2 linked regions of the Drosophila melanogaster genome follow. The protein of the gene in region 2 interacts with the protein of the main gene of each other region in a pairwise test. Each region holds a gene or a part of one and is shown on either strand. Other genes may lie near its edges.

Evidence for each region.
Region 1: the proteins of CG4829 (region 2) and RabGGTb interact in a two-hybrid assay, tested with the Drosophila melanogaster proteins (2 studies listed by BioGRID).

The regions. Positions count from the first base shown.
Region 1 is NT_033779.5:2,877,342-2,883,523, reverse strand, and holds RabGGTb (Rab geranylgeranyltransferase subunit beta), read right to left. Parts: upstream 4,413-6,182; 5' UTR 4,261-4,412; coding exon 3,645-4,260; intron 3,481-3,644; coding exon 3,053-3,480; 3' UTR 2,816-3,052; downstream 1-2,815. Other genes in the region: NTPase, read left to right, coding at 691-2,142, 2,204-2,296; Sbat (sabbat), read right to left, coding at 4,566-4,931; Prx6a (peroxiredoxin 6a), read left to right, coding at 5,387-5,660, 5,721-5,913, 6,135-6,182.
Region 2 is NC_004354.4:16,808,364-16,816,771, reverse strand, and holds the start of CG4829 (uncharacterized protein), read right to left. Parts: upstream 5,074-8,408; 5' UTR 4,770-5,073; coding exon 4,711-4,769; intron 1,278-4,710; exon of another isoform or gene 1,160-1,277; intron 1,030-1,159; exon of another isoform or gene 827-1,029; intron 1-826. Other genes in the region: ppk28 (pickpocket 28), read right to left, coding at 8,387-8,408.

The sequences.
Region 1 (6,182 bases), on a different chromosome or scaffold from region 2:
GCGTCTTATCACTGTCATATCGCCCAGAAAGCTACGCGATAAGATTCTAGTCGAATGGCCACTGGCTTCGCTGACTTCCTCAGCGAAAATGTGTAATTTGGCATGACTTTATATTTTAAGAAAATTAATAATAGCCATAGCTAAAGCCATAGAAACGCATTTTTTACTATTTTTAGTGTTTATCGTTTGTTCTTATAAGAACTAATATAAACTAGCGAAAAGTTAGGTAGAACAATAATATATACTAATCGTGGAAATATCCAAGTAATGCGCTTTAAAAGGTTATTTTGTTTGAAGTAACGGTTTTCTGTTTACCAACTGCCCTAAATTACCGTTGCCAAAAGTGTGGCCCAACCCTGGTTAACGTTATCGATGAGCCACGGACTCTGCAGCCCTGGCACATGTTAACGATAAAGCCCGTAAAATAGACCGAAAACAAGAGAAGAAATGAAATTCATTGACATTCGCAGAGATAGCAAACAGCCAGCGTGTTAATATTTGAGCAGCAAACAACTGAAATGTGTTCCGACCAAGAAACCGGCCATGCATAAATGTGGAGCCAGCAGAGGCAACGGAACGAACCATGAAATACGAATATAAGCTGGTAGACCCGATGAACTTGGCCAAGAAAAACACCATCAAATAACTGAGTAGTCGGTCACAAAACTAATTTGTCTTTCGCCTTTTCAGCTGGCCACGGATGAGAAGCCACCGCGGCGGAAAAGTAGCGGATCACCAAATGCCAGCAGTGGTGGAAACCGCGGGCCCAGCGGCCTCAAGATCTCCTTCCTGTGCCTGATCATCTCCGTCATCCTCCTGCTCTTTGTCTTTGGTGTGTACCATTTGTATTATGTAAAAGACGAAGTGCCCAAAGTTGTACTAACGAAAACCTCTGATTTTCCCACTGTTACCGTGCCCTACGCCCACGTGGAACCCCATTTTGCGCCACCCGTTCGCCGTGTTATCACTAAAAAACCCATCGCCAATAAACCAACGACTGACAACGATGCAGGCTTCGTCTCCGAGAACGCCAGTCCGTATCTGGCCCGTTTGGCCTCCAAGTTTGGCTACAGCAAGGTGCAGTATGCGGCCATCATCGATGCCGGATCGACGGGCAGCCGTGTGCTGGCCTACAAGTTCAATCGCAGCTTCATCGACAACAAACTGGTGCTGTACGAGGAGCTGTTCAAGGAGCGCAAGCCGGGTCTGAGCTCCTTCGCGGATAATCCCGCCGAGGGTGCCCACTCCATCAAACTGCTGCTGGACGAGGCCCGCGCCTTCATACCCAAGGAGCACTGGTCTTCCACACCGCTGGTTCTGAAAGCGACCGCCGGCCTGAGACTCCTGCCCGCCAGCAAGGCGGAAAACATTCTAAATGCCGTCCGAGATCTCTTCGCCAAGTCCGAGTTTAGTGTGGATATGGATGCCGTGGAGATCATGGACGGCACGGACGAGGGCATCTTCAGCTGGTTTACCGTGAACTTCCTGCTGGGCCGCCTGTCCAAGACGAACCAGGCAGCTGCCTTGGACTTGGGCGGCGGTAGCACGCAGGTAACCTTCTCGCCAACGGATCCGGACCAGGTGCCCGTGTACGATAAGTACATGCACGAGGTGGTCACGTCCAGCAAGAAGATCAACGTCTTCACGCACAGCTATCTGGGACTGGGTCTAATGGCTGCACGCCATGCTGTCTTCACGCACGGCTACAAGAAGGAGGATACGGTGCTGGAGAGCGTCTGCGTGAATCCCATAATCGCCAATCGCACGTGGACATACGGCAATGTGCAGTACAAGGTCAGCGGCAAGGAGAATGGCAAGTCCAGTGCCGAGCAGCCCATTGTGGACTTCGATGCCTGCCTGGAGCTGGTCAAGAGCAAGGTAATGCCGCTGGTCAAGCCCAAGCCGTTCACACTCAAGCAGCACGCGGTGGCCGCGTTCAGCTACTACTTTGAGCGGGCCATCGAGTCGGGTCTGGTGGATCCACTGGCTGGCGGCGAGACCACGGTGGAAGCTTATCGCAAGAAGGCCCAGGAGATCTGTGCCATTCCCAACGATGAGCAGCCCTTCATGTGCTTCGACCTTACCTTCATCTCGACGCTGCTGCGCGAAGGATTTGGCCTCAACGATGGCAAGAAGATTAAGGTGAGTCCTGGCGCACTTAACACAAATTGAACTCTCTAGTAACTCGTTTTAAATTGTGCAGCTTTACAAGAAGATAGATGGCCACGAAATCTCCTGGGCCCTCGGCTGTGCATACAACGTTCTGACTAGCGACGAGAAATTCAGTAATTCCTAATGCTCCTCCATTAGTCCGTAGTTGAAGACATAAATTTTAAACGGATTGTTAGCTGAAATTGTTTATAGAGTGCCTTAGACGTGCATCGAGTATACTACAATCACAACACACCGCACACACCGCACACACCACACACACACAGAACACACACTCGGACATTGTCCACAGCATATGTATGATGTGGTCGATTAATATTTGTTTGTGCTCTGCAAGATTCGTTTCAATTGCCTCTAATTGAGCTAACCCATACACGGTGACTACACTTAGCGTTTAGTTTGTAATTCCAATTTTGTGTGATTCGCCATATTTGTAATGCAGTTTTTTGCCAACTTCTTAACTAATTAGTCCCTACACTCGTATCGTATCCTCATGTACATAAATTTACACAATGATATGTATTTACCTAATATGTATAACGACCTAGACTACTAGCCGCAAACATTTCACACGGTTTTTCACACATGCAAATGTTAGTTTAGTTATCTTTGCAAATAAATCAAATGTTAACTGATCTGAATTAAAGTAAAATATTTGTTTATTGCTGATTTTCGTTCGCTATACAAAATATTCTATATTTAATAATAATAGAGGGGTAAATGCATAACGAAGAAAATGAGTAAAGAAAGGGTGTTCCTGCTATGGAATTTTGGTCTTTTTACAAATAAAACTAAGAAACGCTAGCGTGGGAATACGTCAGAGGTCTGCTGCACTACACATTGGCTACGCACTGGCTGCATGTGGAATCGATGAATCCCCTCATGGCCTCGGCAATAGTTGCGGCTTGATGCCCAGCCGGTCGATGATGTACTGCGGCATGCAGAGCGTTGGGTTGATGGCCTTCAGGCCGGAATGTCCCAGTAGCGAGAGTCCGCCGATGCCGAACAGCGTGTGGAATATGTCCGGCATGTTGCCAGTTCTGTCCGAGAAGCCACCGGTCTCCGTGTCCTGGCACGACAGTATGAACTGCTGCAGCTTCTCCGAGCTGATCCAGTGCAGGCGGCCCATGATGGTGAGCGAGGCGAGCACCCACCACGAATAGCATACATCCGGCAGCTTCTCGGGCCGTCCATTTAGCCCACCGGAGGGCAGCTGCCGCTCGCAGAGCCACCAGCCCAGTTTGTCCACGTCGAGCAGATGCAGGCGATGGGTCAGCGAGAAGAAGCCGACGCAGCAGTAGATGAGCCCTGCGGGTTATATGTAGATTAGTTTTTGGATAACATATATGAGCACCAGCTTTATGGCTAGCTATTTTTCTAGTATACTTTTTGTTCCCAGAAGATTAATAAGTTTAAATTGAAATGATATTGACTGTGAGGGCGAAAGCATGACAGGCGATGTGGTGACTCACCCGCATGCGACTCGGCGCCCGGCTTGGAACCGAATCCACCGTCCGTCTGATTGCAGCACGAGAGCACGAACTTGACCGCCTTCTCCACGTCGATGGTCTGCTCCATGCGGCCGAGCAGCGTTAGGGAGGCCACCGCACAGAAGCTGAACCTGGTGTCCACCTCGCCCCACTTGTCGCCAAAGAAGCTGCCGTCGGGCTGCTGCAGTCCGACCACGAATCGGACCACCGCCTCGCGGTCGATCTCCTCGAGGGCGTCGTAGGTGCAGAGGATCTGGATGGCCGACAGGGTGTACAGCAGGTGGGGATCGTGGCCCTCGCAGGGTGCGAATCCGCCCGTGTTCGGACACTGACAACGCTTCACAAACTCGATGATGGACTTGCGCTCCAATCGCTCCAGCTGGCCCATAATGTCCAGGGCAGTGGTGCCCCAATAGATGCCCGACATGCGCAGAAACTCGGTCATGCAGTACTCGTAGTCGTCCTCCTGCTTCCCATGGTTCTCGATGTACTCCACATGCTTCCAGAACTGCAGCTTCTGGCCGCCGCCATCCGCATCACCACCACCGCCGCTGTCGCCACCGCCATTTGAGGGCTTTACGAAGGTCGTGAAGTCCATCGCTGATTGGGCTCAATTGAATGAGTATCGGGTGGCTGGCAGATCCTCTTCGGCGCGCTGTTTCGCTTGATTAACTCTATTAATTGGCAGGAATAGTGCTGCGAGCAAACAAATAACTCAGTGAATCCAATCGAGCACAGCTGATTCATCTGCGCGATGGTTGGCAACGCGGCAGTGGCTTATCAAACAGCTGATCGACGCAGGGGCGTAGTGTGGAGGGGTTTACTATAACCCCATCCAAAAATAAAAATTAAACGTACTTAAATTTCAAATAGCTAGTTTATTTTATTCAAAACACATGCACACTATTGCACCAGCAGGCTGGACTGCGGATCCGGCTCGTCGATGCTTAGGGAGACTATGTGCTGGCCGGGAACCATGACGTTGCCCAGCAGGCGCGGCTCCTGGCCCTCCACCAAGTACTCGGCGCACATGGACAGCACGATGTTGGCGTCGCGGTCCGTGCAGTTGAAGAATCCCACCAGCACGCGTCCGTCCGTAATCACGATCCGAAGAACTCGACCCAGCCACTTCTGGAGCTTCCTGCGTCCCGGCGTCAAACTGGCATCGTTCATCTGGTGCGGGGCGTTCGTTGTGATGCGGAAGGGCTCCGGTGGTGTGCATGCGGGCGGGGGCATCACCTGCTGGCCAGTGATGCTCAGTTCTGTCATGGTTATATCCTCTTTGCTCAATTTAAACAAATAAATGCAAGAAATTCTCAGCTTTTTTTGTGTTTACACTGCGCGTATGTGTGATATAGTGTGCGTGTGTATGAGTAATGGCCAGGGATGCAAGCACGTGTAAGTGGTTCGGTTCACTGGTTCACTTTTTGAGCTCATAAATTCGAAAATATACGAAACACTCGTTTGCTTGTGTCAAAGAAAATACTTTAGATTTAAAACACTTAAAGGAAATGATTGCAAAATGAATGCACACAATGAGCCTTCTTTTTAACATCTTCATACGAAAACTAGTTCTTTTTATATTTGCATCCCTGGTCGAGCTGAGCTTATAAAGGTAACGGGCACCCTAGCCCAGTCAGCTGATTTGCATTTTGCGGCAAATTTTGTTTCGCATTTATCCAAAAAGCTCGTAATTCGTCTCTTGATTTTTTCAAATATCCACCATGTCCGGAAAGGCTTTAAACATTGGCGATCAGTTCCCAAACTTCACGGCTGAGACCAGCGAGGGTCGAATCGATTTCTACGACTGGATGCAGGACAGCTGGGCCATTCTGTTCTCCCATCCGGCGGATTTTACGCCGGTTTGCACCACGGAATTGTCCCGGGTGGCGGCATTGATTCCGGAATTCCAAAAGCGTGGAGTCAAGCCAATTGCACTGTCCTGCGACACCGTGGAGTCGCACAAGGGTTGGATCGAGGACATCAAGAGCTTTGGCAGTGGGTTTGGTCACTGATTTCTGGACAGGAATCGCTTCTAATTGGCGTTTCTGTTCGCAGAGCTGAGCTCCTTTGACTATCCCATCATTGCGGACGACAAAAGGGAACTGGCGCTCAAGTTTAATATGCTGGACAAGGACGAGATCAATGCCGAGGGCATTCCCCTCACCTGTCGCGCCGTTTTCGTGGTGGACGACAAGAAGAAGCTTCGCCTGTCCATCCTGTATCCTGCCACCACTGGGCGCAACTTTGAGTGGGTATTCCAATATCTAGCATTCATCATTATCTATAAAGTAATGCTGTAATGCACTTTAGCAAACAATCGTGCACTTAATCGCATTAGCAGATAATTATTTAATGAAGTATTATTGCTGAAAACTAAGTACTAACCTTGCATATAATAATGGAAGTTAAATAGGAACGATTTCAAGGTCAATTAATCCGACAAATTACATTTAACTATATCCTTTGCAGTGAAATCCTTCGAGTGATCGACTCGCTCCAGTTGACCCAAACAAAGAG
Region 2 (8,408 bases):
TTGTGAGTTTGTAGTACTAGCAAAACTGCCTTTTGAAGGTAATCAAAACTGATAAGGAATTTATTCTATAGTAACAAATGCACAAAACTTTGGAAACACCTAATTACTTAAGATTTTAATTATTTAAGCAAACATATTTTAGTGCGAGAGCTAAGTCATTGCAGATGATCAGCTTATGTTAAAATGTCTGTAGAGGCTAAGCAACCAAAAGCAATTCTTTAAGTAAATAACAAATTCATTAAACAGCTCAAATATTATACAAAAAATAACATGTTTTTAAACATATATTTACATGCATTCATATTTATATCCCTTCCCATAAATCTCATATTTAAAATTAAATATACATTTAGGTATTAATTAAATTGTATTTTGAATTATAGTATCTTTTTTATAAATAGTTTAATAGTTGAAATTATTTAATGGCATAAAATGTTAGCCATCTCTGACTGCGACTGCTTTTCGTCTAGCCGAGTGGGCAGCGAAGTTGCGTCGCTGCCGCAGCGCAGCTGCTGTTGCGCTCTTATTGTATTTTTGTTTCATACTATATTTTATTTTATTTTATTTTTTTTTTTTTATTTATTTAGTTTTTGTTCCACGCTGCATTGCAAATTGTTGCTGGCGGTGCGGAAATCACAAAAAATTAGACGACCCCGATGGACATAGAGCTGCCGTGATTGCCATCATTCTGGATGCTAGGCTCTGCGGGTTCTGGTTGGCTTTCGGTTATAGTTGTATCATTTCAGTGGTTGCCGGGGGGCGTGGCCAGTGGCCACCACCCACCCGGCGGCGAGCCATTAAGAGCAATTTGTTGACAGTGACACACAAAAATGGACACACAAAGCGACGCGAGGCGACAAAACAGGCTCAACCAAACAAACAAACCAAACAAGCAACCGAGCCAAGCTAACACAAAAAAAAAAAAAAAATAGCGAAATAAAATAGTAATGATAATATGGAGGGAAAATCGGAAAATGTGAGACAATCCAGTGACATCATCAAATCACTTTAATTGCAATCGCCGCCAAGGTTGGTAAATTGTGTAAGGATAAGCGTCGTTCTTATATTTATGAACCTCATTTATTTTACTTTGATTTATTTCCCATTTCCTGACAATGTGCCTCCTTCAACTGTTTCTAATCTAATTTTCTATCTTCAGCGACCTTTGAGTATCTTTTGGATGTGTGCTTCTGAAACGCAAGTGAAATTGGCAGCGCTTTATATTGGAACAGGTGAAATAAGATATTGGTAAGCAAGTTAGCGTGCAGTCACAGCAGCGGGCAAGCACTTAATATATATTTAAGGGAAATACGTTAAAAATGTTATGCCTAATAAAGGGAAATACAAAAAAATATATATATTTAGTTGTACAATTTTTGTTTCAACGTCGGGGAACTTACATTTTTTGAATACTTTTCTATTAAATAAAAAGTCAATAAAATAAAAGTAAGTTATGTAAGACTACTAAAAATGTCGATATATATTTTGAAAAATATATACATACATATGTCCACGATAGCCTAGCACCCGATCTAATGACTTGACCGCGACTGTGGTCCGATGTGCGTGTTCCCTGGAGTGGTCATCGTTTGGCCATCATCTCCGCACATCCGCTGAGCATCCGAGCAGTTTTGTTTTTGTACTATTTTGTGGGGCCACGCAGATTTCCGCTGCAGTTTGACATTTGCAGTTGTCTGCCGGTGATAAGAGCTGCGCAGCGGACAAAAGGCAACGCCAAACGCCACAAGGAGGATGATGATCATGGAAGCATGTCAATTGCACCAGAGATACAAAGATACTGAGATACATACGTATGTATGTATGTAGATGGCTGGCGAAAACACTACTTATTTATTTATACATGCGCGATGTCGTGCTGCTAAAGCGTGCAATTTGCCACAGTCGCCATAGTGAACAGTATACAATATACTATATACTATAAACTATAAACTATATAGTGGCTGGATCCAGAGGCAAATCAAAGGCAACAGCAGACGACAAATGGCGAACAAAAAAGAGCGCACGGAAAAAATTAAAATGTGTGTCAACAAATTGCACAAATTATCGGCAGTTGAGCGCAGTTTGGGTATACTCGAAAAAATTAATCCACTCATAAGAAGAGCTTAAAGCGTTATTATAAAGTTAATTTTAAGAGGCTTAAAGGCTTAACAAATTGTTTGAAATTGATCTACATTTAACATAATTTTCTCTTTATTGAATTCATTGTATAAATAAATGTATGCCCAGCTATTTCTTTCGGTGTAGCCCAACTTCACTGACCCCCACAACGCATTTTTCCAATGTGTGACAACAAACAAAGATATGACCTTAATCTGATCACCTCTAAATTGGCATGCTATGATAATTTACCCTAAATGCATGGCATGCACGCTGACCGAAGAGGAGGAGCGATTTGGGGGAGGCTTCACTGTACTTGAAGCGTACGCTCGTGGGCGGAGTGGGCGGCATTGCGTCCATCCACATGACAATGGGCTAATTACAGGGAATCCATCACGCAGACTCATCCCACTGTTTATAAAAAATATAACTCAACACTTGACCCTGCTTTATCTGCCCTTTTTGGTTTCCATTCCATTTTATATGGATTTGCATACCGAATCACAGCTACTGTAAACACAACATTGCGTAGGCTTCTTTTGGAATTGAAAATCGAAATATGTTGGAAATTGGATTTTATGAGAGTATAACTATAAAATCAGAGAGGAAATTGTAGAGATAAATGTATCAGCTTGTTTCCGTTAGAAATCAATCTCAAGTATGCTTGACATAAATAAATAAACATCATCTTTAAAATTCCATAATTATTCTTATCTTACATATCATTCAAAATAATATAGATAAAGTTAGTTATCTAAAAATAATGACTATTGAAATGCTGAATATTCTTTATAAGTATCATCTCTGCATTTGCGATCCCCAGCAAAGCTGCCCATCAATGGTCACAGGCCCAACCCAAAATTAAATAAATGGCTTTTTGCTCGTTGATATTTTTTAGGTGCGAATGCAGTGGAAAATATATATACACATTCATCACATGCAATTTTAATTTTTTTAATTTTTTGTGCGTTGGTTGTTGGCGACGCCGACGCGGTGACGTCACAAACACATTTAACCAGCTAACCTTGGCCCGATCTAAGCTCTCACTCGCACTCGCACTGGAGAAGGGGCGCGGAAATCGAGATTTATATATTTTCTGCATTTCCACTAAATACAGTAAAAAAAAAACAGTAATTACTAACTCACTGTAAGCTAACAAATTGAAAATATAGAATCGAGTGTGTGTAGGAAATGCTTAAAAAAACACAAAATAAGTTTACGCCTTAATAAATTCGAAATAAAATAATAAATAAATAATAATATTGAAAAAAAATATTACCCGTATGCCTCTTGATTTCTTCAAGTGTGTATTTTAAATTGACTTAAGATATGCACATAAGAAATCAAATATTTCTTAAGTTCGTATGAACTCAGTCTATTTGCACTCTGTACTCGATTCGATTATTGTTAGTATATATTTTTCCGAGTGCATATTTGAACTTGTCACTTGTCTGTCTGGAATTCGTGAATTTGGTTTGGTTTGGGCAACAACCTCTGGGCAACCTCTGAGCCGAAAAAAAAAGTGCAGATGGAGATAGAGGCACTTGGCGGCGGGCTCATTAAATGGTCGTGGAAAAATTCCCTTCGGCTACTGGATGTTTTTGTTTTCTTTTTTTTTCAGATTTCTGGTTTTTGAAGTGCCCCACATTGTGTTGCGCTTTCATGTGGCATGCCACGCCCCAATCATCCTGTGAAAACTATTTTCGGTTCGTCTGACACACATCGATGGGCAGGAAAAGCGGAACAAAGTGCAGAGTGGGAAATGAGCAGTGTGAGTAATTGTTTACATTGCGCTTCTTGTGAGCTACTTTACGGCCCAGCATGTGACCACGCCCCCAACCCCCACATATCCACCGATTTTCCTCCCCATTTCCCTGCAAGAGAAAAAAAAACGCGGCACAAGAATTTCACTTGTTGGTTTTTCCGCGCTCCGCATTATCCCTCCTCCTCTTCTGTTTTTTGATGGATTGTTTTGCGGTCCACTGAAATCGACGAAACTTTAAGTTTGAACTAATGGCAACAAAAATATCCGATGGAAGCACTAGTGTACACACAGAAAAATCGGGTGTGGGCCCACCACATATGCACATATTTGGCTGGCATGTAAATGTAAACAACATTGAAGCGATTTGATCTTTGATTACCTTGAATTCACTCAGACATTTTGAAGATACATACGTAAACATTTCCTTTGGGCTACCTTTGAGAGCATATGAAAACATACAAACGTTTGTTTAAGCTGTCTAAGATGTATTTAGTTAGTGGAACATTGGGCAAAACTATATTCAAAACCTTGAAACAATATTTAAATAGTCCAAAAGATTATTGTGCAATTGCTTAATGGCCAAAAAGTTCAAATTATGAATGTATTAATCATCGCAAAAAGGTTTAAGTATTTGCCACCGTTCTATGCGCTTCTCAAAAAGTGTAGATAAGCAAATTCTTATTTAGCATATATTTTGGTATATTTCGATATATTTATTTCGAAATACTTTTCTAGCTTATATTTTGCATGTTTTATAACGACTTTATAGAATTTAAATATATTTTCCAAGACTCTTTCGATCCCAATTTGACCCCAGGTGAACTTACGATTGCAGTGTCGAGAGATTTGTGGCCGAGGCACCTACGCCGCATGCCGTGGAATGCATTTCGCAACTTTTGCCAATTTTATTGTGCTGTCTATGGGATTAGCACCTCCTCTCCAGCTTTTTGATGCCGCCAGCTGGCGATTCAAATCGCTTATGCCAATGCACGCACAGTAAAAAATTTCAACAAAAAAAATAATTATGAACACGGGGCGCGGTGGGATTTCCTTGAATTAAACTTTGGTTGGTTTTCAATTGGAATTATATGATTTGGCAGTTGAATCTAGAATAGATTGAAAGTTGGGTTTACTACTTGGCGCGACAATTTTTGGAGGCGGCGGCGTTCGCGGCGTTCACTTTCCGACTGAATTCTCACTTTCCGCCGGAGATGCCGTCCGGAGATGCGGCCGCTGCGACGCCGGCAGAGGCAGAGTCCGGCCCCATTTCCCATTAACATTACCATCACCATCACCATCGGCATCACCATCCCCATTCCATGCCACCTCATAGCTACGGCCGCAGCTAAATACAGATCCGAATCCAAATCCACCCACGTGGGCCGGCCAATTGTTGCTGCCGTTAGCATAAACATTTAAGCAACCAGCGACAGTGCGCGACAAACATGTAAGGCTAGGAAAATAGCACGAGTGTATACTTTGTTTGGGCTTACATCATCTTATATGTAAATGCTTATTAGAATTTAGCAACTTCGGTTTTAACATTAAAACGACAATAGTAGGCACATGTCTTACAATTTCGCAACGCACTGTCCAAGTAAGATAAATAACCAAAAGGAAATGACTCCCGTTGCCGGTGCTGTTCTCAGTTCTCCGTGTAGGTAAGCGATGCATGTCACTGTTTTATTTAACCACAATTAAACGACCCGAAACATCACAGTGCATAAGAGACCAACGCTGCGTATGAGCAATGTGTCTGGCCATTAATCAGTTTTATTCACAAAGAACTAAGGATGTTCAGAAAGTTCTGCGGGAAGTAGTTTCTTGCATAGCTGGAAATTCTGTACATAATAACACCGACAGCAGATATCCATAACTAATCCAAGATCTGTAATCCATTCCGGCGGATTGTTTTCTTCAATTCCAGGAACCGGCGGGCACATGTTAGTTTGCGGGAATGTCTGTGGTGGCATGAATCCCATGAATCATGGACAGATAAAATATATATCCACCATAAAACTGGAGGCACCAAGCCAACAGCCGGCGAAAGTGAAATGTTCCGAGATAGATATATATACATACATAGTCTGAAACATACGTGGATTATTCGGACCAACCGAATGGCGAAAAGTAGAGTTTATGGGCTTGGCCAAAAAGTAGCGTAGCTAAAGTTTGAAATTAGTGGTCACAAGGGTTGGCTAAAAACATATAGAAAAAAATAGAAAACTTTATACAATCTCTATTTGGAATCGGCAACTCCATGAAAGGCATTCACAAATATTCAATTTAATGTAGCATTTGTAGGATGCACTTGGATATTTTGAGAAAGTCATTGCATCTTAAGGCATCCCCATCCCCATTTTTCCCACTACTTCACTGACTAAGCCCATAAACAATCCGCCACTTGTTTGTTTACAATCCCCATTCGAAAAAGAGGAGGATCCCAAAATCGAAGAATATCGAAAAAAGAGAAATACAACTGGAAATGCAAGCGCTATGTGAGATATTCCATCTGGCCGTGTAATAAAGATCCTCGGCCTGGTGGGATTTACCACAAAAAAAAAACCGAAAAAAAACTTAAAAGAGGCATTTTTTTGAAATAGAATAGAAATGTATTGTTTGGGGGGGAATGTAGCGAAAAAAGGCACTTATGTACTTAGAGCGATGCGAGATGTGAAGTCGAGAACTCGCAGAAACAGACACACTCGACCACTTGACATTGATGGGTGAGAATTCTGAGGAGATCCCACAGAGCATTGGGCATTGAGTGGTGGTGTCACTTGTGGTCTCACCAATCCTCCCCCAAAAGCGGCTCATTAAAATTTGGAAAAGAAAAGCGGCGGTGGAGTGACATCAGCCCTGCGAAATTCTTGCTCGTTTCATGTTCGAATTTCGTTGGCCAAATACAAAAGTTCGCAACGATATTTGGCCAATACCAAAATTGTCTCTCAATTAAGTTTCAATTGACACACAATGCGGCCAAAGCAAAACAAGGGCAATACGATGGCTAAAACCAACTCTGAATGCCCTGTAAACAAAATATATGCTTTGCATTATTTTTATATTTAAATATTTTGCACGAGTAACTAACATATTCAACTTAAGCTATGACTTAAAGTTATGTATAAAAGGTATTGTATTTTTTTATTTATTAAGCTTAGAGAAACTTTAAGTTTGAACTAATGGCAACAAAAATATCCGATGGAAGCACTAGTGTACACACAGAAAAATCGGGTGTGGGCCCACCACATATGCACATATTTGGCTGGCATGTAAATGTAAAAACATTGAAGCGATTTGATCTTTGATTACCTTGAATTCACTCAGACATTTTGAAGATACATACGTAAACATTTCCTTTGGGCTACCTTTGAGAGCATATGAAAATATGAAAATACAAACGATTGTTTACGCTGCCTAAGATGTATTTAGTTAGTGGAACTCTGGGCAAAACTATATTCAAAACCTTGAAACAATATTTAAATAGTCCAAAAGATTATTGTGCAATTGCTTAATGGCCAAAAACAATCGAATTATGAATGTATTTAATCATCGCAAAAAGGTTTGAGTATTTGCCACCGTTCTATGCGCTTCTCAAAAAGTGTATATAAGCAAACTCTTATTTAGCATATATTTTGGTATATTTCGATATATTTATTTCGAAATACTTTTCTAGCTTATATTTTGCCAGTTTTATAACGACTTTATAAAATTTAAATATATTTTTAAAAGGTATTGTATTTTTTTGTTTATTAAGCTTAGAGTACGCACTTTAATATACATACAATATATATAAAAATCCATGAATATATGTATTGAAAATTTTTTTTTAAATTTATTTTATAACCAAGCGTTATTTCCTTTACACTTTGTAAGGGCAGCGGGAGAAACTGAGTTGGGTATCAATTAAAATTGAAGTCGCGTGGCGATTAGCGCCATTAGCCGATATCCGCAATCGCAGAGGGCGCAGTCCGAATTTCCGGCGCAGCCCCTTTTTCTACCTGCCTACACGCAGCGAAAATGTGGGTAATTCCTATAAGTGTGCCCTCAATATGAACTCGACTTTCTTTCGAAAACCTTAATATCTTATTGCAAACTATATTTTTTTTCAGTGTCAACTGAGGTCATTTTACCCGTGGATTCAGCGTTCGTTGCCCTTTATTTTTTGTTGTCTTTGCCGTGGATTTATTTATTGTTGTACTGTTTTCTGGGCCATAAACATTCGACTATGCAAGAAGCACAATAAATAAGAACATGAGAAACGTGGCTACAGAAAGAGAAATTCCAGTCACTTGGGGTATTTCCATTTTTGAATATTACATTTTCTGTGCCATTGTATTCTTTAGTTTTGAATAAGTTTTTTTTTATTGTATCGCAACAACATTTGCTCTTTAATAATTTTCAAAGATAAAGCAATTTCATTGCTTCCAGGTGATTTTCTTTTTAGTTTTTAGTATAGTGAACGGGTGTTTTTCCCAGTGTATACAGCTTCTACACATAAATTTAGTCCAGGTAGGGATAGGTG